Linked DNA regions of Notamacropus eugenii. The protein of the gene in region 1 purifies or fractionates together with the protein of each later gene. This does not show direct contact. Links are inferred from orthologs where the notes say so. Each region holds a gene or a part of one and is shown in the gene's direction. Other genes may lie near its edges. The genes, in order: SHC1, KDR, INPPL1 and AP2A2.

Evidence for each region.
Region 2: the proteins of SHC1 (region 1) and KDR purify together in Homo sapiens (affinity purification with western blotting; 3 studies listed by BioGRID and IntAct, with this or other methods). This does not show direct contact. The link is inferred for Notamacropus eugenii from reciprocal best matches to the Homo sapiens genes SHC1 and KDR.
Region 3: the proteins of SHC1 (region 1) and INPPL1 purify together in Homo sapiens (affinity purification with western blotting; 4 studies listed by BioGRID and IntAct, with this or other methods). This does not show direct contact. The link is inferred for Notamacropus eugenii from reciprocal best matches to the Homo sapiens genes SHC1 and INPPL1.
Region 4: the proteins of SHC1 (region 1) and AP2A2 purify together in Homo sapiens (affinity purification with mass spectrometry; 4 studies listed by BioGRID and IntAct, with this or other methods). This does not show direct contact. The link is inferred for Notamacropus eugenii from reciprocal best matches to the Homo sapiens genes SHC1 and AP2A2.

Annotation. Positions count from the first base shown.
Region 1 is NC_092873.1:379,060,606-379,067,850, reverse strand, and holds the start of SHC1 (SHC-transforming protein 1), read left to right. Parts: upstream 1-4,238; 5' UTR 4,239-4,550; coding exon 4,551-5,039; intron 5,040-5,587; coding exon 5,588-5,658; intron 5,659-6,196; coding exon 6,197-6,260; intron 6,261-6,424; coding exon 6,425-6,544; intron 6,545-6,797; coding exon 6,798-6,851; intron 6,852-7,027; coding exon 7,028-7,079; intron 7,080-7,245. Other genes in the region: CKS1B (cyclin-dependent kinases regulatory subunit 1), read right to left, coding at 1-19. UniProt on the Homo sapiens protein: Signaling adapter that couples activated growth factor receptors to signaling pathways. Participates in a signaling cascade initiated by activated KIT and KITLG/SCF.
Region 2 is NC_092877.1:106,551,854-106,559,815, reverse strand, and holds the start of KDR (vascular endothelial growth factor receptor 2), read left to right. Parts: upstream 1-4,947; 5' UTR 4,948-5,365; coding exon 5,366-5,429; intron 5,430-7,962. UniProt on the Homo sapiens protein: Tyrosine-protein kinase that acts as a cell-surface receptor for VEGFA, VEGFC and VEGFD. Plays an essential role in the regulation of angiogenesis, vascular development, vascular permeability, and embryonic hematopoiesis.
Region 3 is NC_092876.1:96,908,798-96,916,783, forward strand, and holds the start of INPPL1 (phosphatidylinositol 3,4,5-trisphosphate 5-phosphatase 2), read left to right. Parts: upstream 1-4,975; 5' UTR 4,976-5,106; coding exon 5,107-5,309; intron 5,310-7,986. UniProt on the Homo sapiens protein: Phosphatidylinositol (PtdIns) phosphatase that specifically hydrolyzes the 5-phosphate of phosphatidylinositol-3,4,5-trisphosphate (PtdIns(3,4,5)P3) to produce PtdIns(3,4)P2, thereby negatively regulating the PI3K (phosphoinositide 3-kinase) pathways.
Region 4 is NC_092873.1:27,299,251-27,306,067, reverse strand, and holds the start of AP2A2 (AP-2 complex subunit alpha-2), read left to right. Parts: upstream 1-3,815; 5' UTR 3,816-3,964; coding exon 3,965-4,031; intron 4,032-6,817. UniProt on the Homo sapiens protein: Component of the adaptor protein complex 2 (AP-2). Adaptor protein complexes function in protein transport via transport vesicles in different membrane traffic pathways.

The DNA of each region.
Region 1 (7,245 bases):
CTTCAATTAATTGGCTCATTCTATCGGAGGCGGGAAAAAGAGCCCACCTTTGAGACGCTTATTGGCTTTTATAGTTTTCACTCTATCCCACCTCGGGTTCTTATTGGTCCATAGGGCCAGACAGTATGTTTCGTATACGCCCATGAGACCATACACAAGCTCTTATTGGGTATCATTACTTGAGGGCCCCACCCTGCACTTCTACGGGAGGGGCGGGGCAATGAAATGGAGAAAGGAGGAGACACGTAATGCGTAGGGGTCAAAGGTTAGTCAGGCCGGAAGTGAGTGCAATAAAGTTTCTTCGGGGAGGCTGGGCCTGGGGGGGGGGGAGAAAGTTGGAGCGTCTCCTCTAAGAAGCTGCGGCCGCCAGATCCGGAGTGAGACCGGCCCGCGGCGCGGAGCGGAGACCCCATGCGGCCCTGGTGAGTATGAAATTTTTATCATCTTTATTTAATATTCTTCCCCCCAATCCACTGGAATCCCACTTCCGGCCAACCATACATAAGTCCCGCCTTCTGGGACCCCATCCCCGGAAGTCCAGCCCCCAGTTCAGGGGCTCCCCGAACCCCTCAAAGTTGTCACCGACCTAAATGTTTCCCCCTCCCGCCCCCTATTTTGGAAAACTTTGCCTTCCTCATCCCTCCCCCCCGAAACCACGCCCTCTTTAATCTTAACACTCCCTGAACGCCCCTACCCCGAGAGGGGGCCCTCCAACTATTCTTTACGGCTAGTCCCGGGCTACCCGTACCCCACCCCGAAGTGCCTTCTAGAATTCTGGGGAACTCCGCCCTTCATTAGGTCACGACCCCTCTGTATACCTCATTTCTTTCTCCTCCCTGGCCATTTAATTCAGTAGGGGCCCATTTCCATTTAATTCAGTAAGAATTTATTAAGCTCCCCTGTGTGTCCCACAGAGTGCTTGTCTACGTATGCATAGACAAAAACCTAACAATTCCTACTTTCAAGGAGCTTGCCTCCTAATGAGAGGAGACAACATGCAGGTAGAAAATTAAATATAAATTATGCACAAAGTAATTTCCATAAGAATAATTTCCTTTAGCAACTGGGGGAAATCAGGATAAACTTCCTGGAGATAGTGGCATTTGAGTGGAACTTTAAATGAACCTAGACATTTTATGAATCAGAGGTGGTTGCATTACAAGGATGCAAAAGGTACTGTGTAGAGGTACAGAGATGAAAGATGATATGCTGTGGACTAGAATAGTAAGCAGATTAATTTGGCTATAAGACAGAGTGTGTGAAGTAGAGAAACACTAAGCCTGGAAAAGTAAGCTGGAAAATATTTTGGATGACCTTTCCCTTTATAATTCTCTGAAACCATACCTCCCAAGAGATACTTCTAAGGTGCTCATTAAAATCTGAAGCGATCCTTGTAACCTGAAAGGTCCCTGCTTCAAACCCAGAAACCTGGCTTCCTTTCTCAATCACACTCTGTCCTTCCATCCAGCCTAGGTTTTCTCCTCAGTTCCTGGTGCCTGTGTCCCTGTCCCCCACCCCATATTGTGGTAATAATTTAAATAAATGAGATATATAGCAGTATCCCCTTAAATTCCTTTGAGAGAGGCAGTGCAAATTTTCTCATTTGCATTTTACACATGAGGAAACTGAAACTCTGAGAGTTTAAGTGACATGATCACATTAGTATTATGTATTAGAGGCTGAAATCATCTTAAGTTTGCCAACTGTAAGCCAAAGGCTCTTTCTACTGCCTCATTATTCCTAACCCTGACTCAAATCTGAGGGATTGAAGATTGGCTGTACTTTCCCTCCCCTTTGGGCCTTAATTTTATTCTTGGGTGTGGGATGACCTGAAGTGGGTTGGGCTTGGAGGTAGGGGAGAAGGGATGGGAAATCCCTCACGAGTTCCCAGATCTACTCCCTAAGTTTCCCTTCCCAGGACCGGCTCCACCCCAGAAACAGCTGCATGTCGTACCTGTACCTCAGGAGCTGGGCTGGGCCATGGATTCCCTGGTGTGTGGAATGGGGTTGTGAAATGGGTAACTTCTCCCTACCTACCCTAAAAGAGTAGGGTATTTTGCAATTGGGAGGTGTGGGGGGATGCTTTTTGCTCTCTGGCCCTAGAGACTTTACTCCAACCCCCATTCCTGTTTTCTTGTTTAGGTATTCCCCGTCTTTTCTATGTCTGCCTAACCTTCAGTCCAGGAAACATTCCTGAGGCTTTTGCCATTTCCGGCTGCTCCCTGCCACTGTACTCTCCTCCCCCTGGGCAGAGAAAGCAGATATTCCCCACCCCCACCCCAAACCTCTGAAAGTCATCTAGTTTTTGGTTCTCTGGAACTGAGTTTCTTCTACATTCTTTTCCAAATATTCCGTTATATATGGCTCACTACTCTCTTACTGTGAAAGCTATAAGAAAGTGAGTATCTCTAGACAGTACAAGAGTCTTGGCACAAAGTATGTAGGATATCGGGGTAATTATCTTTTGGGTCTTCTTTTTTTTCTGTGATCTGTGAACTGAGTGAGCCCTGGGGAGTGAGGAAATGGGGATGATAAATTTCTTCTCCCAGTTAGGAGTTGAAACAAACCCTTCTCTCTTCTCTCCCCTCCCCCATTTATGGGATCGTAGATTCCCAGCAGGAGGAGACCTTAGAGACCATCCAAGCCAATCCTCTTCCCTTCCATTCATTTTATAGATGAGGGGTCTGAGGCATGGAGAGGTTGCCTAAAGTTGCAGGTGCCAAGTAGAAGTGGGATTTTAGCCCTGGTATTCTGACTTCAAATCCACCATTCTTTCCACTGCTTCTGTTAGTACAATTTGCCTAGGAGGTGAAAGAAAGCTTTTCCCCCTCTCCCTAGCTAGGAATGTACCTGAGGCTTAATTTTGAATTTAGTTCCTCTAGTCTTTTTTTGCTGTCTGCCTTTGTAGGAATTTCTGCCCTCTCTTCCATTTGGTTTGGCAGGAAGTCAGGAACTTGTGGGTGGAGGAAATGAGTTTTGGACTGTTTCCTGTGTCCAGACTCAAACCCGACTCCCCAAACTCTCCTTTTCTGTATGATTAGAATATGGGGGAAGCGTGAAGGTTGGAGTAGAGCCCTTTTTCAGAGTGGCACTCATCCTCAGAAGGGAGATTTAGGGATAACTGGGAGAGAAGTGGCAGTTGGATTACCATATATATGTATAAGACATTGCCCATGGATGCCAGGGGCTGCCTTTGACCCTCTTTGCTTTTAAATCTGCCTTTACTATCAGTGCCTGGTGGCTATGGGGAGGAGTCTGGAAGCCTAGCTTTGGAATCAGAGAGAGCATAGACCTCTAGGATTAGGATAATTAGGATCCTGTGGTCAGTAATGGATTTTCCTTTCCTGTGATCTTCATGGAATGGGTAAGTGCCCATATACAAAGGGAGAGGAACCCCACGGACAGGAGAATTGTTGGGTAGTGATGTGTCCTAACGTTTGGACTCGGGAGAACAGAGCCTTGCCCACCTTCCAAGTGATGCTCTCTTGGTTGAAACATCATCTTGGGAGGAAACTGACAGCTGAACTCCCCCAGTAATGCCCTAGGTAGTACAGGTGGGGGCTGGACTGTCTTTGTGGCTGGCTCACTTCCCTTATGTCATGTGGAGAGGCTTAAAAGGTGAGACTCATCTCACCTGCCTTCTTTCTTTACAGTCCCAAGCTCTCCAGGATCCCACATGCTTCCTTCAGAGGCCTTGTTGGGCTGGCTCTACCAATGCACTGGTTTGGCCTTGCTCCCTGGCTCTTTCAGTCTCTCTTGGCTCTCTGCTCATCTTGCCCCTTTGCTTAGCAACCCCTTCCTATCTTTCTTTCCTTCCCTGTTTCCCAGACAGCACAGAGAGATTTTCTTTCTACTATATCTCCAGCTGTTATGGCAGTTTTAGCTAATGGCCTTGAGGTTCCCTGGGGATCTTCTCCCCACGGCAAGGTTGCCAGAATTTTTAACTGGGGTGGGAAAGGGAAATAAGTCAGGGATTGCCCCCTTTCCCTGTCTTTCTCTCTTTCCTTCCCCACTGCCCTGGCTTCCTGTCTTCTCCTCCCCCTTCGCAGTCAGGCATTAGACTTTCAGATCTGTTCTCTCTTCTCATCATCCCTTCCCTTTTCCCCATTCCTGATTATGCTTGGTTGGGAAGAGGGGGGGTGGGTGGATATGTGGAAATGGGAGGGCCACAGAGATTCCCTCCCTTAGGATTTGAGGCCTTGGGTGGGGTAGAGGTGGGGGGCTCTGCCCCTTCTGTGCCTGTGAGTCAGCACTGTCCTCCTGATTGGCCTCCACTTACTAACTCTCCTCCCCTGGGGAGGAGCCAAACTGTTCCTGGTCCAGCTCTCTCTTCTACAGCTAGAAAAGAGGCTTCATGCTAGGCGGGGTTGGAGCTAGGGCTTGTCTGGATCTGAGCTGGGGGAGTGGTGGTCTTCTCTGCAAGGGTTCTGTGACTATCTGCCTGTATATAGCAGATCAGACTAAGGGTCTGGGAATGCCCCCAGCCCGGCCCCCTTACCCTGGCTGGGGGGAGGGCCGGGCTGGACAGCAGTTTCCTTTCTCCTCTAGCCATGGATCTCCTGCCCCCCAAGCCCAAGTACAACCCTCTTAGGAATGAATCTCTGTCTTCATTGGAAGAGGGGACTCTGGGATCCTTATCCCCTGGGGAGCTATCCTCACCATCTGCCTCTTCCTTGGGACCCATCTTGCCCCCAGTGCTGGTGGATGATAGTCCTACAACCCTTTGCTCTTTTTTCCCTCGGATGAGCAATTTGAAGCTAGCCAACCCAACTGGGGGGCGGCTCGGTCCCTCTGAAGAGTCAGGACAAGGACCTGAGGATAGGGAAGGAAATGCAGGGGGCACTGGGCCGGACTCAGGCCCTTCACCTCTTCTCCAGGACATGAACAAACTGAGCGGCGGGCGGAGGACTCGGGTGGAAGGGGGCCAGCTGGGGGGTGAGGAGTGGACTCGTCACGGGAGCTTTGTCAACAAGCCAACTCGGGGTTGGTTACATCCCAACGACAAGGTCATGGGACCTGGGGTTTCCTACCTTGTTCGGGTGAGTGAGTATGTCCGTATTCTCAAATATTCCTCCCCTCAATCCCCATGTAGTCTTCTTTTGCCTGAGACCCTTGTAAGTCCCTTGTTTTGCTGGATTTTATGTTTTCTTTATGTGCCAAATTCCCTCTTCAGGTCCCTCCATGTATTACTTCCTACCTGTCCTGTTCCCTGCCCCAAATGCTGCTATTTCCCATTCCTTTCTGTTTCCCCCCTGCTTTTTTTCCCCTAATTCTTGTGCAGACATTCTTATTTCCTGTTCTCTTCCTCCATATCATTCTGGTCTTTTCCCAGCACCTAAAGATTTCTCTTTCCCCATTACTTTACATAGACTGTTTCTCTAACCTCTTCTTCTCTCCCTCTACACTGGGACCAGGGGTGTTCTACATTCAGATACCAAGCATAGTCAGTGGGTAGGCGTTCACATTCTGGAATTAATATAGGAGAAAATCCTGGGGGGTCTTTTGTGTGCATGTGTGTTGAGGGTGGTGCTGATAGTAGTTGGCAGAGGTCAAATGCTCCACTTTTCCCTCCCTCCCCCTCCCTCAGTACATGGGTTGTGTGGAGGTCCTCCAGTCGATGCGGGCCTTGGATTTCAGTACTCGCACCCAGGTTACCAGGTAAGTGGTGTCTGTCTGGGGGCATGGGGGCCAGTCAGTGTTGCTGGGGCTCATAGCAGTTAGTGAGCTCCTGGGGCTCTGTGGTCATGATAGCACAGGAAGAGCATTATTACTGAGGGATGGGGCACTTAAGGGAGCCCAGTGGAAGATCTAGGTTCCCCTCTGCCTTTTCAGCCTTGGAATGGAGGAGGCACGCACTTGAGTCAATGAACTTTGGCTGGGCTTACTGTGTGCCAGCCCATAAGATTACAAAGACCCTGAAGGGTGGGAGCATGGTTTCAGGGAAAATTAGTATTTGGTGACTAGAAGGGTTGAGGTTAAGGGGAAGTGACTGGGTCCATCACTGGGCTCAGAGGCCCTAATCCAATCAACCAGCAGGCAGCTCCTTAGTATCATCAAATATTAAAGGCCCTTAATTCAATCAGCCACTACAAAGAGCTCAGAGTGCCCCTGGAGTCTGTCCCTGGCTTCCCCTCCCTTAGACCTATGTTGGGGCCCAGGGAAATCTTTGCTTCTAAGCAAGTCTTTGTCTTCTCAGAGAAGCCATCAGTCTGGTGTGTGAGGCTGTGCCAGGAGCCAAGGGGGCTGCACGAAGGAGAAAGGTACCTGGGGAGCATTGTTGTGGAGAGTAGTAGATGGGAGGAGAGACGGAGGGGAAGCCAGGAGCAATGGAGGGGAGATGGGTTTCTGGATATAGAAATTGGGGCTTTAGGGGTAGGCCTGTAGCCTTTAACCCCCAAATTTTCTGTGGATCCTTTCTTATTAGCCCTGTAGCCGCCCACTCAGCTCCATACTGGGGAGGAGTAATCTAAAGTTTGCTGGCATGCCTATCACCCTGACTGTTTCTACCAGCAGCCTCAATCTCATGGCTGCAGACTGTAAACAGGTTTGTTGTGCCTGGGGGGGTTGGGGAGAGGGAAACAGTCTAGCCAGTGAAGAGAAGTCAGAGAAACTCAAGGGGAGAAAGTGAGGGAAGAACTGGGTATCTGGGTGGAGATAGTTAGAGGGCCCCTGGTGGAAGGGACCAGGGGATGGGACAGAAAGAAATAAGGGAGTTAGTAGGACAGAGAATACTAAGGAGTGAAGAATGTGAGTCAAAGTGGAATTGCTAACACTACCCCACCACCCCAAATTCTCAGATCATTGCCAATCACCACATGCAGTCAATCTCATTTGCATCCGGTGGGGATCCGGTGAGTTATGGTAAAAAGAGATGGTGGCTGGGGAAAAATGGAGTGACTCTGGATTGAGGTGACCCAGAATGATTGGGTAGAGGTGGGGGGGGAATAAAGAGGTTTTTGTGGGCTGGTGGGGAACATGTAAAGCCATGCTGGCTGATCTTACCCCGACTCGGAACCTGATCCCCTAGGACACTGCTGAGTATGTTGCCTATGTTGCCAAAGATCCTGTCAATCAGAGAGGTAAGTGGGAATCTGGTAGGGTGGGTCAGGGGTTCCTTCTCCAATTACTAGTTCTGTGGTCATTGAGGGCACTTGAAGCTTCCCTTGCCCAGTGGGTGCTATTTCCAGGGAGCCTGGGATGGCTGGGATGGGTCATGCCTGAACATCCCTAGCCCCGCACTTGTTG
Region 2 (7,962 bases), on another chromosome or scaffold:
TAACAGAAATCATATTAGAATAATGCTTCATGTCAGTGATCCTAGAAAGCTTGGATGGCATCTGATTTTTAAGTAAGTAAGCCTGAATATTTAGTTTCTGGTTGTGAATATATCACTTTCCACAATAGAATTTAAGTTCCTGGAGGCCAGGGACTGTTACATTTTTGTCTTTGTATCCTAAGTATATAAATTATAAATATATGCTGAACTATAAACTATGTGCTAAGCTATAAGCTATATGCTATAAACGAGGCATGCAATAAATACTTGTTGGTCGAATCCAAAATAATGATGATGAAAACAGAACTGAATATGAGGGAGAGTAATCAGGGTCCAATATACTCTAAGGACTATGTCTTTGTTGGCTTGTTTCAGAAGTGTCCGACTCTTCGTGACTATCTGGGATTTTCTTGGCAAAGATGCTATATTGGTTTGCCATTTCCTTCTCCAGCTCATTTTACAGAAGAGAAAATGGAGGCAAACAGGGTTAAGTGACTTGCCCCGGGTCATATATTTAGTAAGTGTCTGAGGCTGGATTCGAACTCAGGTCTTTCTGACTCCGGGTCTGGCACTCTATCCACTGCATCATTTAGCTAGGCGCTTTCCATCTGATTTGTAGCTGAAATATCTTCTATGTGTTGTCTTCCCCATTAGAACAGGAGTGAGTTTCTTGAAAGCAGGAACTGACTTGCTTTTCAGTTAGTATTCCCTATGCTTAGACCAATGCCTTGTCTATACTGAGTGCTTAGTCAATGCTGTTTCCAAACATTCAGTTCTTCAATGTTAAGGTTATTGTCTGAGTTGTTCTCTTGATGCTGCCTATTTTACTCTATATTAGTTAATGGAAGATTTTCCAAGTTAGTCTAAATTCTTTATATTCATTATTTCTTGATGAAATAACATTCCATTCCATTTACAATTTGTTCAACCGTTCTTCTAATGATGGGCATCCATTTTATTTCCATTTTTTTTTGGAACAACAAAAAGTGCTGCTATAAAAAAATAACTATTGAACTTTTACCTCCTTTGTAAAGGAGTAGCCAGTAGTGGTCTCACTGTGTCAAAGGGTACATACAGTTTAATAACTTTTCTAGCATAGTTCCAAATTGTTTTCCACAATGTTAAACCAGTTGACAATTCCAGCATTTACTACTTTCATCAGTTATCTTTGCTAAGCTGATAGGTGTAGCTTGACCCTTAGCATTGCTTCCATTTGAATTTCCCTTATTACTAGCGATTTGGAACATCTTTCTATGTACTGATAGCTTGCATTTCTTCTTTTCAAAATTGCTTGTTCACTGTACCTAAGATCGAAGGAAGAAGAAAAGGACCAATGCATATAAAAATATTGTAGCACCTTTTAATGTAGTAGCAAAGAACTGGAAACTAAAGAGATATCCACCTGGTACACAAGTTATGTACGTGAATGTAATAGACTACCTTTGTGCCGTAAGAAATGACAAAATGGGCAATTTCAGAAGCATCTTGGAAGATCTCTATGAACTGATGCAGAATGAAGTTAGCAGAACCAAGAGAACAACTCATACAATGACAACAATGTTTTTAAAAAATAATTCCTAAAGATTTGAGAACTCTGATGAAGTCCAGAGGACTAAAACTGAAATAAGCTACCTGCCTTTTGAGAGAGAGGTCATACACTTAAAATGTAGAATGAGACATACATTTTTGGGTGTGACCAATGTGAGAATGCATTTTGCTGAACTCTGCCTATTTGTTATAATAATTTTTTGCTTTTATTGGAAGGAGAGATAATAAATGCTTGTAATAATAATTTATTTTTAAAAAAGAAAGTTGCCTGTTCATATCCTTTGTCTACTCACCTATTAGGAAATGCCTCTTTTTACAGTATATTTCCATTGGTTCTCTACGTATCATATATCAGACCTTTAAGAATTTCTACAAGGGTTTCCCCTAGTCAACAGCATCTCTTCTTATTCTAGCTACATTGATTTATTATGTAAAGGGTTCTCAATTTTATATAATCAAAATGGTCTATTAGTTTTTTAAGATCATGTCTATTTTCTGGTTAAGAATTTGCCCCCTAACCAGAGTTGTGGAAAACATCTCCTTCCATTCTCAAAATTTGTTTATAGTTTATATGAAATTTATGAAACATATATAACATATGTTACATGTAATTTATACAAAACATATTTTAATCACTTATCCTCCATTTGGATCCAATGCCTTTCTGCTCCAATAAGCCCTCTTTCACATAACAAAAGGTGAGACTGCATGTGCAGTAGCATGGAGGAATGGATGCATTGTAGAAATGAACCATCTCCATCATGATCAATTCATATTTTCAGCAAGTGTCACTTGAGGTCAATGGTTAACCATTTGAAGTATATGTGCCATTGTTATTACGCTCTATTACAACAGTGCATTAAATAAGGACAGAAAAGTAGAAAAATCAAAGTTTGACAAGATAACATTTTTTTTCAGACTTTTTCAAAGTGGTGAAAACTGGGCATTTTAAAGTGATATGGGACACTGGGTATGGCAGAACAACTTCAGTGTGATCCCTGGCATTTCTGGCCTTGCTATCATTGGAGTCATTATTTCATCTTTTTTCAAAATGGCTATTTTCATGAGACTGAAGTTTCTGGTTTATATGCAAAGGAGCTGACTTCTTTGACTGGACAAAAATGGTGGAGAGCAACAGCATGGTGTGAACTTCTGGGGTCCTGGCCTGGAAGTTAGTAGACCTATATCTACTCAGTTTTGTCATAACTTGCTGTGTGACTTTGGGCAAATTATTTAGCGAATCTCTCCCAGCCTGTTTATTCATCCCTAAAGTGGAAGAGGAATGGTTAGCCTAGACTAGTGTTCCCCAGATAGTGAACCGTGGCCCCTTGGGGACCAAGGAATTATTGCAAGAAGTCTCTGTGTCCCTATAAGAGCATACAGACCATCAGAACGAGCGCAGAATATTTCTCACATGTATGTACTATTCGTTTTCAAATGTCACCACTGACCTAAACCACCCCAAAGGTTTCTTTAAGTTTTCAAATTCTATCAGTCTTTGATTGGCATGTGGTGGAAAGGGAGAGAATAACTAGGACCAGGAGGTGAGAATTATTTAGGAGATAGGGAAAGCATCTCCCAGGGCCATGTCCACCTAGTTCTTCCTTCATCTGACTCATCATCTATCGGTTTTAATTTCATAAATTTTATTTAGGGTAGGTGTGTGTGTGTGTGTGTGTGTGTGTGTGTGTGTGTGTGTGTTGGGATGGGGCAAGGTAATAGTTTTATCTTTAAGGAAAACTTTTTAAAAATAAAAATGATTCATTCATTTTTAAAAAGAGGTGCCTCAGGCATCGGGCCAGCCAAATGGAGGGTTGAATAAATATCAGGAAATAATCAGGTAAGAAGACCTCTTCCCCCTTTCTTTACCTCATTTCTTACAATGCCACTGTCTGATTAATTCAGGCAAAGATGGGATGAAGAGTCTTGGGGGGGAGGGATAGGATCTAAATCATGAGGTTAATTGCAATTCTTTAAAGTGTTAGGATTTGTATTGTTCTACTTATAGTATGATGAAGTTTCTGTATGCTTCCCCAGTATCTTGTAGGCACTCTCGCTGATGAAAAAAAAAATAAAACGCCTACATCTTCCAAGGAGGCAAGGAACTTGGGAATTTGCCAGATTCTGTAACTGAGCTCAGCGTAAGCTCGATGTGATTCCTGAGTTATGAAGGAAACTGGATAAAAATCAAGGACAGCAAGAAGGGAACTGGAACAAAAAGAAATGTGTTCAAAGATCCTTTTCTGCCCCTCCCACCTAAAACACCCTTGTGCCCCAGAAAGGTAGGAAAGATAGGAGGCTCACAGACTGAATCAAATCACTATTTCCAAATCTGGGTTCAGTCGCAAAGTGGACAGCAAGTAGGTGAGATGGATTCAGAGAAGACCAGAACCCTGAACCACGCAAATACTGGAGATGCTAGGAAAGCATTTTGGGCATAGTTGGTTCTATAGAAACTTCAAGTTTCTAACGATGCCTGGCAGAGGGGGTGGCATCCCAGAAATGGGCATTTCTAAGAACTGAGGTGCCTTCATCCAAGGCAGGATCCCCCTGCTCATTATTGTAGGATGAAGGCTCTCATATAATGGGAACTTGATTTGAGTTGCAGCCACAATCTTAGTTATGGTTGAGCTAGGTGGGCATCCTCCCCTCTCTAGCCCCAGTCACAGAGATGCTCCTTTGCTAGGATGCCTCCTGTGCCTGTATGAGTTTGGAAGTCCTCCCTTACTGTATTTAAATGTCTCTCTTGGAATGAATTTACCCTCCCAGTCTAGGCAGAGACTATCCTTCTCCAGATTTCTCTTGGCTTCCCTAACCTCATAGGAACAGTAGTTAGGACTCACATAGGGAAGATTGCCAAGGGATTCTAGGTGTTAATTCACAACTTATGGAAACCACTCAGACCATCTCACCCGGTGCCTATCACCTCAGTGTCTCCAAGAGGGAGAGGCAGCCAAAGGAATCCCCAGGGACTCCAGATCCAATGCCTTATACATTAAGAAAAAATAATGAAAACATTTAAAACCTGAGGGAATTTTAGATTAGCTAGTCCATCATCCTCATTTTAGCTTTGAAACCAAGAGGAGAAGGGCTTTGCTAGGAGTCACACAGGTAAATAGCCAGACTCTCCAACTCTTAAGTCAGGGCACTTTCCCCTATGCCCCTGCTTCATCTGTTGGTTAGTGCAACGGGGACACCTTTTGGAGGCCAAAGCAGGGATCAGAGACTGGAAAATGTACTCTGCATTGGGCCTATCCGAAAGCACGGAGTTATCTGGGACCGGTCTCCATTAGGTCCAGTTAAATCTTAGCCTGGGCTAGGTAGAGGAACAAGGCGTGGGAATGGGCGGGACGGGGCGGGTCTGGCCAACTGTAAAGGACAGCTCCGCCCCAAGTGCTCACAAGAGGAGTTGGTGGAGGGGCTGACCCAGCACAGATTCCCGGGCAGGCCCCCAGGAACGCAAAGCTGGGTCAGGCCGGTCCATTCCCTCTCTCTACTTCTTCCATCACTCGTACTCCTTCGCGAACCCAGAATCCTTCCCTGAGTCAGATCAAGTTCTCTGGGGGGCCAAGGAGTCTTCACTCTAAGTGAGCAGTGCTTTCCTCTGGCGCCAGTGAGGGGCACCAGCCCGGGCACAAGCCGGAGGCATCTGCACCCGGCGCCTTCGCCCTCCCTCCCGCCCTGACTGGCAGCTCCTGGTACTGGAGGCGGGGGAGTGGCTCCCATCGAGCCAGTAACCGGGAAAGAAAGCCCCCAGGACAGGAGCCGGCGCTGGAGCATCTGGATGCTGGAGCCTGCGTCCTGCCAGAGCTAAAGAATGGAAAGCGCCCGAATGCTTCTGGTCCTCTTGTGGCTCATTGGGAAAAGCCTGCTGGTTTCAGGTAAGGAACCCTGGGCACGCGGGAGTCAGTCTGGAGGGAAAAGCCGGGGGCTAGGCCAGCGAATGGGGGCCTCTTAAGAAGGCGAGAGAAAACCAAGTCAAAACCAATCTTGCCTTTTGCTGTCGCAGAATCGAGAAGCTAAGGTTTCATCTGGTCAAAACCTGGCGCCCGGAAAGGATTAAGAGGTGGCAGGGGGACGCACAGCCTGGCAAACAAGCCCAGAGCTGGAAGGGGCCTTGGGGCTCGTCAACTAACAATAATACCTGGCCTTTATTTAGCGCTTCGAAGTTTTCAAAGTACTATATATCTATCTATATATATATCTTCTCATTTGAGTCTCCTAACAGTCATGTGAGGAGGTAAGTGCTACTCATTTTACAAACAGAAAGGCTCAGAGAGATTACCTGGCTAAGCTATGGTCACAGTGCTAGCTAATGTCAGAACAGTAATTCTAACCCAGGTCTTCCAGATTACAAATTATAATGATGCCACTCTGTCTCCAATCTACTCCAACCAAACCCTGTATTTTATAAGTAAGGAAACTGAGGCCCAGAACAGGGAAGTCATTTGCCCTGGGAAGCACAGCTAGGAAGGAAGTAGCGGATCTGGGATGCTTATCTGACTCCCAGTCCACTGCTGCAGTCAGGTACTTAAGAGACGCCTAAGACCAAAGACAGGTAGGGTCGGAGGGTGGGGGGTGGTGTGCGAGGGATAGGTACGTCTCAACACTCAGGTTCTGGACTGCAGGCATAGTCACTAACAGTTGCGGGAAACTTTCCAGAAGAGCCATTGGGCCTCGGAAAGCGGGACAGAAATCTATTTGAGGAGTCCCAGCCTGCCTCGCAACCCCACCCCCTCACGCCCCGGGACGTTTGAGGAAGCAGGATCTTTTCTCCTGGCTGCCGTGGGGTCTTTGCTGCGAGAAGGAGCCCTGGTCCTTTGCTGGAGGAGCGGGGAGACTGCGGGAACTTCTGGGCAACGCAGAACCTCGGGCAGCCTCCTTGGGCACGGGCATCTCCAGCTACTCTCCCCTTCTATGCGGACTTTGCACTTGCAAAGCATTTATCGCTTTGTCAAAGCGCCGCCTCTCCAAGGCTTAGATCCCTTTGTTTGAAGTATGAACCCGAAAATCGGCCCCACAGGAATAGGCACCTTCCATGCCAGTTGCCCCTTCTTGGCTCCTAAACCGCATTTTCCGCAAGATTAAGATTACATAGAAGCTCGAGGCTTTAACCTCCTTTGGGGCTCTCACAGACACACACGCTGGGAATGTTGTTTTCCCTGCAGCCACACTTTATCGATTTCTAGAAAGTAAAAAGGTACTTCTGTGTTTACATTGAGGCAAAGGGATCCAGACAGCTGAAGCAATTATCTAGATAATTCCTGCAACTGGGGAGTTTGGGGGGGGGGGGGAAGTATTTTTTTTATTTTTCAAAGAAAAGATTCCTCTCCCTTAATTATCCAGATTGTCTGTCTACATTGATTGCATTTACCTTGTAATTATTGGGCTCTTCAAGCCTGAGAACTAGGTCAAATGGCTCTGTGTGTTGCTAAGGCACCCTCACTCCTCACTCCCCCCAACCCATTATATTTAGCTTCCAGGTCTAGGGTCCAGAAAATGTATGGGGTGTTTGGATTCCAGAAAGAAGTGAATCTCTTTAAAACCGGAGGAAAAAACTTAGCTCTTCACGAAGGGGCCCTTCTCAGTGATGGGAGCCACCTTGCCCTCCAAACAGTAGGGAGGGAGCTTTTGGGGAGGATTTGATTCCAATAGTAGCATTGGTTCATAATTGTTGCCTTCAATTTCTTCACACAGAAGCACTATTGTCTTTCCTTCTGAGTTGGAGCAGGGAAGGGTAACAGAAGGATTAATTAATTAACATTGCTTATAAGCTTTGCAAATAGAAGCAGCTTTGAGTAATGATACGAGCATTTCTTATTCTAGAATTTGTCTTGAAAATGTAAATATATAACCAATGATCTCCGAAATGACTGCCTATTGTAACAGAGACAAGAATTTACATTAATTAAATTATTATGTTAATAAGCGAAATCTCTATATTGTATTTGGTAGCAATGAAGTTGTCGAATGAGAAAGATAACCTAGACTCAACTGCTGTTTTTTTCTTGGATTAATTACTTTTGAGTTGTATTTATCTCTTTTTATTTTCCAGCACTGCCTAGGTGATTTCTACATGGGCAGTAGTTTGCAATGATATGGAATAACTTTGATCAACTGAGTTTATCTTTGGTGTTTTTCTTTCTTTCTTTCTTCCTTTCTTTCTTTCTTTCTTTCTTTCTTCCTTTCTTTCTTTCTTTCTTTCTTTCTTTCTTTCTTTCTTTTTTCTTTTTTTTTGATGCCCTTTCCCTCCTCCCCCCCTCCCCACTTTCATTACCTTGCTCCAAAATGTGCACCTATAGAATGGATTGCTTTTCATATCAAAGTACTCATTTCAAAAGGCCAATTTTTGTTTCTCAACCTAATGAGGTTTTTCTAAAAAATGTTTTATGGATTTTTTTTTCATTATTGTTC
Region 3 (7,986 bases), on another chromosome or scaffold:
CTGCACCTTTAGCACTCTACCCTAGCCTGTTTTGCCTGAAGTTCCACCACTGAAAGGCTTCTTTTAAATAAGGCCTTGATGATCCCTTGGCAACTTTGCAATTACCCTTGGGAGGTGGGGTATATTTAATGATTCCCAGCTCTGCTCATCAACACCACCAGGTTATAAGGAAGAATAAAGAAGTGGGGCTGAGATTTTGATTTCTAAGTGCCCCCTCCCCCACCAAATGAGCTACTAGGCAGTGGGGGAGGGGAGGAAGGCAGTGACTGGGGCAAACCAAAGCTACAGTTTATGTGAGTGGTATGAGGGGAAAGAAAAATGGATTTGGGGATAGTTCCCTCAGATTTTACATCATTAAGAAGAAAGGATTGCAATAGATGGCTTCTAAGTTCCCTTCCAATTCGAAATTGATGATCCCTTGGGAAAGATGGGAGCAGAGAAGTGGAGATCAGATGTATAGAGTCTTTAGGAGTTCCCCAGTCCTTAGCACCTGCCTGAACTAGATCAAAATGTAATTAGGAAATATTTAACAAAATAAAAATGTAATGAAACATTACATTTTAAAACTTGACATGTGCCCTGCAGGGGTCCTTCTGTACACATTAGGGGTCCACTTTTATTTCAGTTTGACACCATCTCCCTATTCCACCTCAGTTTAAACCCCATAACAATGTTCTCCCTCTTCACATGTTCCTCTTCCTTTGGAGATGATTAAAGCAATGAGTTCAACAAATCTGGAATGAGCAAAAGAGTTTCTGGGACCTAGAAGTAAAGAGGGGCTTTCCAGAGTCAACATTCTGATGGTAGGATTTCAGAGCTGAATAGAACTTCTTTTGTTATTGGCCAGCACTTGGGATTTCATTGGTTCTGGAACTCAGGTTTCTCTACAATTATAATTTGTAGGGGGGAATAAGTTACTTGTTCACTTGGGTTCCATAGCAAGTAGGGACTTTATACCAACTGTCAACTCTGAAAAATAAAACAAAACCAAAGAGTTCACAGAGGTTATAAGCAAAAAGTTTTCTTTATACTGTTGGAGAAAGAAAAGTAGACAGGGCTGCCAGTGTCTAGAACTGAGGAGACCCAAGGCAGCAAAGCCACGTCTTGATACATATAAGTGTGACAAGACAAAGAACCAAACAATGAGGGGTCACCTTATCAGTGAGGGATAGCAGCAGCAACGAGGCACGTTTATGCCAGGAAAAAAGTATATTCATAGCAAGGCTTCATGACTCGAACACGGTTCCTGCAGGTGCTTTGTGAGAGCTCATTGATCACCTAGGGCTGATTTGAGCCATTTTTACGATTTAGCTGCATCAGAGTTCATCTAGAACGTAAGGGCAAAGTATTGTTGTTATGTTCAGGGTTCAGCTTGCTTGTTGGGCTTTGGATCTGGGAAACATGGTATCTCCTAAGAGTAAAAGGAGAGGGGTGGTCTTGGCATGGGGATCCTGACATTTCCCTCTTTCTGCAAAAGGGAAGGGAGTCTAAAAGAAACTCTCCCACTCTGGCCAAGACAGGAGAGGCCAACTGGGCCAGGAGGAGATGGTGAGTTGAGGGACAGCTGAGGGCTTAGGTTGGTGAGCTTGGGAGTTAAGGTGGCAAATCCATCAATTTATTAGCCCCTCCCCTTTAGCAATGATGGAGGAAGGATAAAGAATGGCATTTCTATCCCAGGAGGTTAGTTTCTTGAGGAACCTATCAGGGAAGTCCATACTAGGTGTCTTTGAGAAACTCCCAATAGGGGAAAGTGCATAAGCAGATAAAGCAATAGGTCTTGTTCAGCCAATGTCTATTACCAGCAGAGAAAAGGAGGGAGAAGCCAAGAACACAGAGGGAGAAAATGCCAACACATGCTTACATCAAGGCCTTGGTGGTTGGACATGTAAGAAAAGGGAACAGGAAAAAATTGGGACTCAGCCCTTGTCTGGAATCTTGGGACAGCTGTCTTATCTGCGTGTCTGTACCAGAGGAGCCTTGAGGTCCCTGGACAGTTCTGCCATCCACTCAAGAGCAGGGGTCTTTCTTCAGATGATCCAGGAGTCCACATGCACAAATCTGGCAGCTGTAGGAGTAGTCAGAAGGACCTGGTAGGGGCCCTTAGATTGAGGGGGTGGAGTGAACAGGTGTAATTTCCTGAGTTCAGAAAATGAGGTGTAGTATTTCCCAGATGTCTGTAACATGGAAATAATGACTGATTGATCAGTAGAGGTCTAGTTTTCAGTAAGACATATGGGTTGCTTGAGTTGTACAATTGTTAGAAAACTCTTTGTATCAATCTTTGGGTCTGAGTTTCCGGTCAGCATAACCTAGGTCCTTGTTTAAGGGTCTTTAAATAGCAAGTAGAGTCCAATTACAGATCAAAGTCTTTAAAGGGTTTACAGTGTACTAGTCCCTCAGTGCCTGGTTCTTTGTCTAGATACTAAATGTATCAAGGTTTAGCTTCAATGCCTTGGGTCTCCTTCATTCTAGAGTAGAATAAAGAAATCTTTTGGCTTATAACCTCTGTGAGCTCTTTGGTTTTATTTTATTTTTTTTTCAGAGTTGACAGTTGGTATAAAGCTTTTGCTATAACTTCTGTGCGTCTTCTGTCAGAATTGACAGTTGGTGTAATAACTTGCGGCTCTCTGGTTTATTTTATTTTTCAGAGTTAACAGTTGCTGTACAACCTCTCTGCACTCTTTGGTATTTTCAGAGGTAACAGTTGGTGCATAACCTCTGTGGCTCTTTGGTAATTTATTTTCAGAGTTTAAGAGGTTATGTATGGCTATTTACCATATTAGAAATTAAAACATATTTTAAAATTGTTTACTAATTTAGTTAGAAGTCACATCCATTAGGTGTTAACACAAATAATATCTTAATGAAAAATGTTTTCCATATTTTTGCAAATGTCTTTTAAGTTCTGACTTAATAGGAGGCAGCTGGATTTTCATTTTGTAAGCGTGAAAAGAAAATTCGGTCTCAGGAAGACAATGTAGTTGGAAAAGGGAGGAGTATTTTAGTAGTAGCGTCTCAGTATTACGAAAATAGTTTTGACCTCAAGGACTCCCTGAAAAGTTCCCAGGGTTCTCTAGCCTTAGAAAAACATTGATTTAGTCCAATTCCATCACTTAACATATAAAGGAAACACAGCAACACTTAGGATTTGAACCTAGGAAACCAGGCTCCTGCTTTCCAGAGCATCTCCGGCTCCTAAACCGTCCTCCGGTTGAGAATCGATAGTCTGGGTCCTCATACCAACTTTAATGCCCAGTTTCCTAATTTCCAAGCGAAAAATCCTTTGAAAACAAAGTGGTTGTGGCAGAGGTAGGGTTGGGTAGCGAGTGAGAGGGTCGGTGGGAGACTGAAAGTTTAAAAGTAGGAAAAGATTTAATAAGTTATGCAGCTTTCTGTTCCCTCTAACCCTAGGGCACACAAAGGTGTGTCAGGAGATGGGGGGGCGGTGGCTCCACTACTCCCCGCTTTTATCCAGCGCTAGGAGACGTCCTGGGGGCCGGGCCAGGAAGTTACCACCCCATAGACTGGGCCCCGGGCGATACATTTTTGGCCCGGATCTGCCAGTGTCTTGGACCCAGAAAATAGACTTGAACGGATTGGGGGTGGAGGGTTGGGGACAAAGGAAGCGAAGATGGAGAGGACAGCATGGGAGCCATGGGGAGGGGTAAGGAAGGTAGGAGGGAGACGAGGGGCGATGGAGGGAGCTAGGGAAGGATGGGACGAGATTGGGAAAGATGGAAGGAGACGGGTGAGCCGAGCTGGGGAAGTGGGGAGGGATGGAGTAAGAAGGGGAGGGTGGAGGAAGTCCGAGAAAGCTTGATTTCCCGGGCTCTGGGCTGAATGTGGCAGGAGGCGGGAGGGAAGCAGGAGGCGGGCAGAGGCAAGGCAGAGGGGCGGGTCGGAAGGCTGCGGGTCCGGGACCTGGGCGGAGGAGGGCCGGCTGACGGGGCTGGGGGGTGGCTGACCATCTTAAGTCGGCTGGCATCCCTGGCCCGGCCCTACTACTTCCCGGGGGAAGAGGGTGTGTGAGTGTACTCCCAGGTGGGCGAAGCGCTCCTCGAGCCCAGGCAGGCCCTCCTGGGGAGAGCGGGCTTGGTTTTCAGAGCCTTCCCTTAACTGTGTCTGCGATCCTGGGGCCCCTTTCCCAGGCCCGGGAGAGGCCTCGGGGGCTCCGGGTGGTGGCGGAAGAGGACGGGGAAAGTGCGGGGGGAGGGGAGACTCCGGGGATCCCGAGAGGAAGCTGCGCTGGGCCTTCTCGGGAGGGTTGGGGTTCTCGGAGGGTGTTTGGGGGGCTCGGTACTGTATCCCTGGGGAGATCAGGGGCTGGAGGCTAGGATTCCCGTGTCTGGGTTAACGCTACGGGGTGTTTGGTGCTCGAGCGATTTTGGAGGGTCTTGGGGTGTTTCGGGGGCTCCGGGGTGTGTTGGGAAAGTCCATGAACAAAGTTAGGAGTTCCTCACAGAGTAGAGGTTCTTTTGGGGCATAAAATTGGGAGAGGATCGGGGGGGAAACCTCGGGGATGTGTTTGGGGGTGATCCTTGAGGGCTTTTGGAGAACTCCGATTGGTAATCGTGGGAACTGGGGTGTGTGAACCTCCGGGAATGTGTGTTTTAGGAGGTTCATTGGGCAGAATTTGGGGACCTGGGGGGTCTCTGCAGGGTTTTGGGGATCCCCGAGGGTGTCTTTTGGGGGTCTCTGAACAGTATTTGGGAGTCATGGGGCAGTGCTCCGTGGATCTTGGGGAGCTTTTCAGCATCTGAGATGCCGGGACTGCGAGTATATTTGGGGAGAGTCCCGGGGGTTCTCTGATCGAAGGAGGCGGGGACCCCCGCAGCCCCTCCCTCCCGTCCCATCCAGTCCCCTCCCCCTCGCGGCTCCTCGCTCCCCTCCCCCCTCGGCCTCTGAACAAACTTTTCTTTCTCCTCCAAGTTGCAGACTAACGCCGGGGAGAGAGGAAGGAGCGGAGCGGGAGCCTCCGGAGCCGCCGCCAGCCCCGACGCGGAGCCAGGAGCCCCGGCTCCCCTTCCTCCGCCCCAGGCCCGGGCCATGGCGCCTCCTCTCCGGCCCCGGTGACCGCCCTGCCCGGGCCGGCCGGCCGCGGGGCCCATGGCGTGCGGGGGCCCGAGCTCCGGGGGGCCCGGCGGGGGCGGGGGCGGCGGGGCGGGGCTGGGCAGCCCGGCCCCCGCCTGGTACCACCGCGACCTAAGCCGCGCCGCGGCCGAGGAGCTCCTGGCCCGGGCGGGCCGGGACGGCAGCTTCCTGGTGCGAGACAGCGAGAGCGTGCCCGGAGCCTTCGCCCTCTGCGTGCTGTGAGTCGGGATCAGCGCCCGGGAGGGTGGGGGAGCCCCGAGTGGGCGGCCTAGGTCTGGGGAAGCTGGGCAGGGGAGCGGGACCTCAGGGACTCGGAGCTGCGACGAGCACTGAGGGGAGGGTCTGCCAGTGTGTTGGCAGTCGAGGGCGTCTGAGGCATTCTGTGCCTTGGTCTGTAGGGGGGAGGGCAGCAGCACCTGGGCATGAAGAAGGCCAAGGGTGCGGGATGTATGGGATCCAGTGGCTGTGGAGTGTTTGCGTGCCCTGGAGGGGGTAGTCTTAGGACGTAATGAGACAGCTCCGAGATTCTCTGTGTTTCTGGGGTCGGGTGGGGGCTCAGAGCTGTGTAAAGAAAGGCAGGCAGGTAGGTGCAGAGTGGGATCCTTTGGAGTTCAGCGTGTGTTTATATGGAGACTCAGAAGGAGAATATATGTGTGTTTTACACACTGGGGGCTCGGAGGGTGCGAGTAACACAAGTATGATGGGTTGCAGGAGCAAGTTTGTGCCTGTTGGTTGGGCAGATAATGACATATGTTTGGTCCTGGTATCTGGAATGCCTCTAGGTCCATTAATTCTGGCGAGGTTAGTCATTTCATACTTTTCTGGGTTCACTGAGCGGGACCTGACCCCAGGGTAGCCCTCCCTTTCTTCTCTTACAAGGACCCAGCAGCTGCTTGGACACAATCCCAGCCCCCCAAGTTCCTGGTGAAGCCATACTCCCTTTGCCCTTCCTCCTCCTTCCTCTTCCCCCTGTGTGGAGTAAGACAGCACTGAATAGAATTTGGCTTATTTACAATAAGGAGAGAGTATTGTGAAAATGTAAAAGTCACAGAGATCTCAGAATTGGAGGGTATTTGAGAGTGTGTATTTGTATATGTGTACAGGGCTATATATATGATGAGGTGAATTAGCGTCTAAGGATGAGTTTCTATGTGTATACTTTCTATGAGTGAATGAGAGTGAGAATGTGTACTAGAGCGTGTGGAAGAACAGTTTATAGTCTTGAGCATGAATTTTCATATGCTTGCGTGCTTGTCTGTGAAGGAGATATTAGGGAGTCCACCAACACCTACAGATGTGAGTGGAGAGAATCAAGCAAAAAGTGGTCTTGGCTTTTGGAGAGAGGAGTGCCTTCATCTACCTCTTTTGTTGTCTCTGGCTCCCTTCTTTGTCCCATCTCCCCTGGGGCCTGTTATATTTAGAATGATGGTCAGGCTCTCAATCCCAGGCTTGGTGGGGCTCCTTGGTCTTTGGATTTAGGACTTTGGGTTTCTGGGCTGGGCTTTGGGTTAATGTGGGCACCATTCTCTAGATCTAACGCTGTCACCCTTGGGTTTAACTCTGAGCATGTCTGCCACAAAATCGTTTGGGGAATCTGAGGATGCTGGCTGAGTCCTTCCCCACTCCCTCCCCCCAGCCTCAGCTTTAATCTCTGAGGAGCCTCCATGGAGGCCTGAAAGGCCTGGTCTTTAGTTGTCTCATCTGCATTTCCCTTCATTCTCGTGCCTTGAATATTAGTCTTGAACTGGATGTTTTCCTTGGGTCCCTATTGTGAACTCTTATGTCTTCCCTATAAACTCTTATATTCTGTGTCTTTCCCCATCTTTTCCCTCTTCTATTGTCTGTTGCCTTCTGCCAATAAGGGTGAGATGGGACTCAGTGTGGGCAAGAGACCCTGGGACCTTACTGGACCAGCTGTCTAAATAGGAAGGATCCTGGGAAGAAAGTGCATTAAGTCTACCCTTTCCACCCCCTCCCCAATATTCACTGTTAGGGAGTAGGAATGGAGGGGTATATTCATTCCCCTCTTGAGGAGGTTCCCTCCCCTGTAAGGATCTCTGATTGTTGGGACTTAGGGGTTGACTGGTCAGCTGCTGATGGGGAGTGGGGGACAGCTGTGATTGGGGGTGAGTAGGACTAGACTTGTTGTCACCTAGGACCAAGGAACCAGAGGGGCCCTGAGACTGCCTCAGGGTAGCTCTGTCTGCATGGAGCCTTCAGTCTCCTTGTTTCTATCCTGGATGGAGCCTTAGATGTCTGGGATTATCTGCTCTGCCTGTGTCCTGAGCTGGGAAGTGTTGTGGGGAAAAAGTGGACCAGAAAAAAAAGTGGCCTAACGAATAGTTCTCTAACTTTTCTGACATAGACACCTTCAGCCTTGGTGTCGCAGAGAGGTCAGTTGACCGGGAATTCAGACACCTTAATGTGAGGCTCTCCACATGGCCTTGAACCAGTCCTGTAACCTCTCTGAGTCTTAATTTCCTCATCTGTAAAATGGGTATAATTGTACTAGATGCCCCCAAAAGGTTTTGGTGAGGAAAGCACTTTGAAACTCTGAAATCTATCTGTGTCATAGGTATGAGAACTGTTATGTTTGTAGTGACATGTGAGTGCCCTGACCCACTTTCATGCATACAGCCACCCCAACAGACATACATGGCCATAAGCGGACACAGACCCACAGACACAAACACATGCAGGCAGGATGGATTTGACCAGTCGTTCATGTACATCAGTGTACCCAGGCATATTGACACACACACACACACACACACACACACACACACACACACACACACACACACAGAAATACAGCCAGATGTCAGGTAAACAAAATTGTCAATGCCTTTCCCCCACAAATATACAAACCCTCAGGTGATTTCCAGGAGGGACTTT
Region 4 (6,817 bases), about 350 Mb from region 1:
CAGGCAGCCCACCAGCTTCTGGCCAGGCGCTGACTCAGTGAGTGGAAAGGACCCCTGGGAACTCAAACTGAGCCTCCTCTTACAGAGAAGGAACCAGGCCCAGCACAGAGGAAGAGACTTTGTGCACTCCAGAAGCTGAGCCGAGTTCCATGTCCAGCCTTCTGTCCACACCCTCATTTACAGAGTAGAAATTGAGGCCTAGGGAAGAAAGGCAGATGGGCAGCAGCCAGAGGAACCTGAAGACAATTCCTCAGATTCCTGAGGCAGCTGGGTGGTACAGTGGGTAGGGAGATGGTCCTACAATCAGGAAGGCCTGAGTTGAAATGTGACCTTAGACACTTTCCAATGCTGTGACCTTGGGAAAAGCCCTGGGATAGTCAGGGAACAGTTTGACCAGGTCCCTGGCCTCAGAGAGTTTACTTCTCCTGCAGAGGAGCTGCCCAGGGAAAGGAAGGGGATGAAGCCTGAGAGGAGGAGGCCTCTGCCCTTCCCAAGGAGAAGGCTGGGTAAAGCAGCAGAGGAACTCAAGGACTTGTGTCCTTGCCAGGTAGCTGACACCCATGCCTCTAGCCTTTCCCAGCTCCAGTCCCTACTCAGCACTGTGCCTGAAAGCCTGGATTCAGGAATCATCTGTGGCTCCCTATGGCCTTCAGAGAAAAATGCAAACTCCCCTGTTTGACTTTGGAAGCCCTTGCCAGTCTGATTCCAATCTGGCCTTCCAGGCTTTTTTCACTCAAGTCCTCCCCATACCTGACATTCAGCCAAATTGGCACAGTCATCACTGAACATACAGGACATTGTGGGGTGTATGGGGTGTTCAGAGGGGACCAGCCTCCGTGGCATGAGGGCTACTGGGCACTTCTCAGGGCTGCTCATCCACCTTTGGTGTCCCCCTGACACCCAAATGTCACCTGTGGCTTCCAGGTGTGTGTGTGTGTGTGTGTGTGTGTGTGTGTGTGTGTGTGTGTGTGTGTGTGTGTGTGTGTGTGTACACAGTACGTATGGGGTGTTTAGGCAGGACAAGCCCCTCTGGGGTGAGGGCTGCTCATCTACCTTTGGTGTCCACCAGTGGCTCCCAGAAGCTGGAGCGTGTGTAGTGGTCACACCTGGTAAAATCATCTGGGCACATGGGCTAAACCAGGTTGAGGGAACTGAGGGGTCTCAAACCCATCCGTGAGTTAGGGGGTGTCTCCTCCAAGCAGGTGAAGTCTTCTCCCAGCAGAATGGGTAGATGAAAACAATTGGTTCCGCAGCCATGAAGGCGACTGAGGGGGGCGCCATGGAGTGCTTGGAGCCTTGTCAGGACTTTGTACCATCCTGTCTCACTTACATCCAATTCAGGAGCAGGGAAGACATCACCCCGTGAGGTCACTGGTCCTTATCCAAAGGAAGTTGGAACAACAGCAGGACATTGTGCCTTTGCAGGGCTGTCCCCTCGTCTCTTCCCTTGCTCATGGCTCCAGTCCATAGGAGGCCCTTCCTGGTCCATCCTTGACTGTCTGATTCTTGTCACCCATCCTGTGGAGGAAGCTTCAGGGGCTCCCTATCACCTCTAGGAGTAAAAATAAAACCCTCCACTTGGCTTTGAAAGTATTTCCTCCCCTAACTCGCCTTCCCCGCTTCCAGTCTTCTGACAACCTTATCCATGTACTTATCAGTTATTAAATAGGCAATCAACATTGATTAAGTGCCTACTATGTGCCATGCAGCATGCTCAGCACACAAAGCTAGCCAGCGACACTGGCCTCCTCACTGTTTCTTAAACAAGACCCTCCATTTCCGGACTACAGGTATTTGCCTTGCCTGTGCCACCTGCCTGGGTCTTTGCCTCCTGGCTCCTCTCATCAAGTTTCAGCTGGAACTGGCCTGTTGGTGCTTTCCTCGTTGCTTGAGTGTCTCAGATCCATCCAGTTTAGAGCTGGTTTGTACCTCACTCTGCATGTGGTCTCTCCATGATTAGCTCACAGTCCCTTGACAGCAGAGGCCATTCTGCCTTTCTTGGCATCCCTTGTGGTCTATATATACAGCTCCTGGCACATAGTAGGCACTTAAATGCTTGTTGACCTGACTAGACTCATCCTACTAGTTGCTGCCAATTTACAATCATGGGCACCAGCCTCTTCCTTTAGGAGAATGTCAGGTTCCTGCAAGTTGGGACTTTCATTCTGTCTTGGTTCTCCTAGCCTGTGGCACAGGGCTTGGCTCAGAGGGGGCAGTGAACACATGCATATTGGGTTGGCAGGACCTCTGTGTGAAATCTCTCTTGGGGGGAGACATTGCTGTTTAGCTATGGAGTAGGCGTTTAAGAAATGTTTATTGGCTGACAGATGGTCTGAACCCCAGCTTCCTGACTGAAGTCAAAGAGAGCAAAGTTAGCTCATTCCAGGCTAGGGGCACCACAGGGCATAGAATGCTGGACCTGGCCCTGGGTAGGTCACTTATCTTCTGCCTCCCTGCCTCAGTTTCTTCATCTGTAACATGAGCATCTATAGCACTTCTCTTGAAGGATCCACTGAGATATTTGCAAATGCTTTGCCAACCTTAAAGTCTTCATGATTAAAGCTGGGAAGCATGGGTGGAGCTAAATCATGGAGGGAGGAGAATGCCAGGGCCAGGGATTTCCGTTCTCTGTGGTAGGCCACAGAGAAGACCTGAAGGCTGTACCAGTGGTCTATGATGCCCTCATTCAGTTGGAGATGTAAGAGGTTAGAGGCCCACTGAAACTTCTCTAAGAGAGCTGAGAGAGGACTCATAGAGCCTGGGAGGCCTTGGCCCCTCTCCCCATGGACCACATTTTCCCAAGTCTCCATTTTGAGGAAGGTCCTGCCCAGCAGCCTCCTTCCTCCAGTCCTCTCTGTAGCTTGGGCACCTTCATCCGGCTCCCTCCTCCTCCCCTTGGAAGACAAGCTCCTTGGGGCAGCTAGCTGGTGCAGTGGCTAGAGCATAGGCCCTAGAGTCAGGAGGATCTGAGTTCAAATCTGCCTTCAAACCCTTGATGCCTCCTAACTGTGTGACCCTGGGCAAGTCAAATCTGACTGCCTTAAAAAAAAAAAAAAAAGGAACCTCCTTGAGGGGAGCTGCTATGTGTCTCTCACCTTGGATTTATACCCCTTGTGCTGTCAGTGCCCCAGTCATCTTAGCTGGAGGGCAGGAGTTTCTGGCTGGGTCACCATTGTGGAAGGCAATGAGCCTGTCCCATTAATGCAGGCCCCCCTCCCTTCTCTGCCCCAGGGGCTGCTGCCCCTTACGGGGCGTTGGACCTGTGCTCCCCAGACCTGACTCTGGGCCAGAGCCTGAACCTGGGCCTGGCTTGGCTATGTCCCCAGTGCCTGACACACAGGAAGCCTTCCTTCATGGTCTGTGCCTTGGCCTGAGCTCCTGCCCACTGGCCCAAGGGTGGCCCAAGGTGGCCAAGGGTGGCCAAGGGTGGCCCAAAATGGCCCAAGGTGGCCCAAGGTGGCCAAGGGTGGCCCAGGGTGGACCGGGCCAGAGGCCTTTGAAGTCCAAGGAGGGGAGTCTGTCCGAAGATTCACCGAAGCCTGGGGGCCGCTGAGTGCAGCCTGCATCTGGCTAGGATGCTGACAATAAGCTTAGCGAGTCCCACGCGCTTCCCTGCAAAGACAAGCTCGCACCCTGCTCTAAGGGCTGGCTGCCTCCTGAGACCAGCGCAGGCCGGCGCATGCGCCCTGACTCGCCGCTCCCCCGCCCGTCGGGCCCCCACGCTGCTTCCTCCGACCTGGAGGGGGCGCTCGCGAGCTCCCAAGGGCGCGGGCACGGCGTGCTGGCGCCCGTGTGCGTGCGTGCGGACACGCGCACGTCTGGGCGGGGCGAGCGTGACCGGGGGCGCGCGTGCTGCTGCTGCTCCAGCTCCTGCGGGGGAGAGACAGACTGAAGCAGAGGCGGCGGAGACCCGGAGGGAACCCCAGGCCGGAGCCGGAGCCGGGCCGGAGCCCCCGCCGCCATCATGCCGGCCGTGTCCAAGGGCGACGGGATGCGGGGCCTGGCCGTGTTCATCTCGGACATCCGCAACTGTGAGTGCGGGGGGGAAGGGGAGGGAGCCGGACTGCGTGTTCCCCCCCCCCCCCGGGCCCCCGCCCGAGCTGCGGCCACTGGGAAGGCCTGGGGACGGCCCGGCGCTGCTCCCCTCCCCCCGCGGTGCTCCCCTCCCCCCCGCGGTGCTCCCCTCCCCCCCGCGGTGCTCCCCTCCCCCCCGCGGTGCTCCCCTCCCCCCCCGCTGTGCTGCCCTCCCCCCCCCGCTGTGCTCCCCTCCCCCCGCTGTGCTGCCCTCCCCCCCCCCCCGCTGTGCTGCCCTCCCCCCCCCGCTGTGCTGCCCTCCCCCCGCGGTGCTCCCCTCCCCCCCGCGGTGCTGCCCTCCCCCCCCGCTGTGCTCCCCTCCCCCCCGCGGTGCTGCCCTCCCCCCGCGGTGCTCCCTTCCCCCCCGCGGTGCTCCCCTCCCCCCCCCGCTGTGCTCCCCTCCCCCCCGCTGTGCTCCCCTCCCCCCCCCCCCGCGGTGCTCCCCTCCCCCCGCTGTGCTCCCCTCCCCCCCGCTGTGCTGCCCTCCCCCCCGCGGTGCTCCCCACCTCCCCGCGGTGCTCCAGCTCGGGCGGGGCCAGGCCCGGGCGTCCCCCCGGGGGGAGTGGGGGGGCATCCAGGGCCGGCCGCGGCCTCCCGCCCCTCCCGCCAGCCCCCCTCCCCCCGCCCGGGGTTCCTGGGGCCCCGGGCCCTCCGGACGCGGAGAGGGGGCAGTGACAGGTCTGTGTGGCTCATTCATTTCAATTGCTTAGGAGGGAGGCCTCAGTTTCCCACCTCCCCGAAGCCTCGGACCCAGCCCCCCTGCGGGCTGGGATTGTGTTGGGGGTCCCTGCCTGGACATCCGGCCGCCCTTGGCCAAGAACGGGGAGCCGCTCCCCAATGGGGGGGTGCCGAGCTCCGGGCTGGCCTTGACCCGCGGAGCTGTCCCCGGGCCGGCCCAAGGCAGCCGGCCGCCGCCGATCCCGGGCCAGGGAGGTCCTGGCCATTGTCCAGCACCCCGGAGCCTTCCTGCGATGCCCAGGGCCCGGGCACGCCCCCTGGGCCGTCGCTGCCTTTGGAGGATTCGGGGATCAGGGGCAGACCTCATTTCCTTATTCTTGAAAACCGAGACACACCCTCCAGATGCCAGGCTGGGGGGTCTCTGTGGCTCAGCCCCCTCCAAAGCCCGGCCAGCTTCCCTCCCGCAGCCCTAATTACACCTGTGCGTTGTAAGCTCCCCAGGGCTGAGCTTCCGCGGGCGCCTGGGGCATATCCCCTGTGCCCCCTCACCTGGGGGCTGCTGAGTGCACCCAGCTGGCCTTCTCACATCAGCACACAGAGGGAGGACTGTATTCACTGGGTCTGCCTGGTGATTGGTTCCTTGTCAATGATCATGTACCGTGGCCCTCCTTCAGGGAAGCTCTGGCCTCATTTGGCTGGAGGTTCCCTAGTTTGGAGTCTCTGTGCCCCCCCTCCCCATTCCTGCCACATGAGGAATTCCTGTCATTGTTCTTCCTGAGGTCTAGCCTAGATGGTCTGTGTGCCCTGTGTATCCCCTGAGGGTCTGAGTGCCCCCCCCAAGCTCTGTATGCCCTGTGTATCCCCTGAGGGTCTGAGTGCCTCCCCACCCCAAGCTCTGTATGCCCTGTGTGGCTTGTGTGGCACCTGAGGGTCTGAGTGCCTCCCCCCCAAGCTCTGTGCGCCTGTGTGCCCTCTGAGGGTCTGTGTGCCCCTTGTGGGGCTGAGTGCCCTGTGACCTTCCCTTTCCTCTTTGTCTTCCCTTACATTTCTGCAGTCCAAGCTATCCATTTAGTTAGGAGATGACCAGATATTGGACCTACCTTCTCTTCCCCCCAAAAAGAGACCAGTTGGTTTTTTTTTTTGAATGAATGAATGAATGAACGAAAAAGCATTTGAATGCTTAGTGTGTGTGCAGTGTGTTTTGTTCTTTCTAATGGAAGAAACATCATGCACTGGACAATTTCCACTCTGAGCTGGAGAGAGGGTCCTCACGTTCTTTAGGGTGCAGAGGGCTGTCTTTAGGGTCCTTTCCAACAAGAAAACCAAAGCAGCCTCTCCTGTTGAACCCCTCAATAAGGAGGTTGTGTCAGCATTCTGTGGCAGGCATGTGTAGACATGGGCTTAGAAATCAAAGTTTTTGGGAGTCTAAAGGCCCCTTAATCAGAGTAGCCAGGATCACCAGGCTCCCCAAATAGGTCCAGGTGAAAACATTTTGGGCCTGATGTGGGCAGTGAGTCTTGAGATGGCCCAGTAACATTCAGAGTGCTTTGTCGGACCTCTTTTGCCAGATTCTCAGAGTTTGGAAGCTTTGTCAGAGCTGATGCCTTCAAAGCAATAGGGCGCCTGGACTGGTGAGCAGCGGCTCTGAAGCTGGCAGGGTCCTGTTGCCCCTTGTGTCTGGGGCAGGAATACCCTGACTCATTTTCCCATATTGGTCTTGGAACTCTGGGTGTTTGGGGTGAAGCTAGAGACTCAGCTTTTTAAAAAGGAGGATCACTTGGATTATTTTGCGAGTTTACGGAAGCTTGGCCACTGGTCACTCTGGGGTGCTTAATGTCTCTTTGGGAAATGAGTGAATGGCCGCACTTGAGAGTTCCTCTGGCAGAGAGTGGCAGGCTGGCAGGGAGGGGAGGAGCTTTTCAAGGAAAGATGGTGTTTTCTTACCTTTCTTACCTTTCAGCCTCACGTGAAGCCTGCCAAGGGCAGCCATTATTAGGTTGGGGTCCAGATGAGGTTCCCCTTTGATCTCAGGCTTCAGGGATGGCAGGCTCCCCATCTTTTTGGT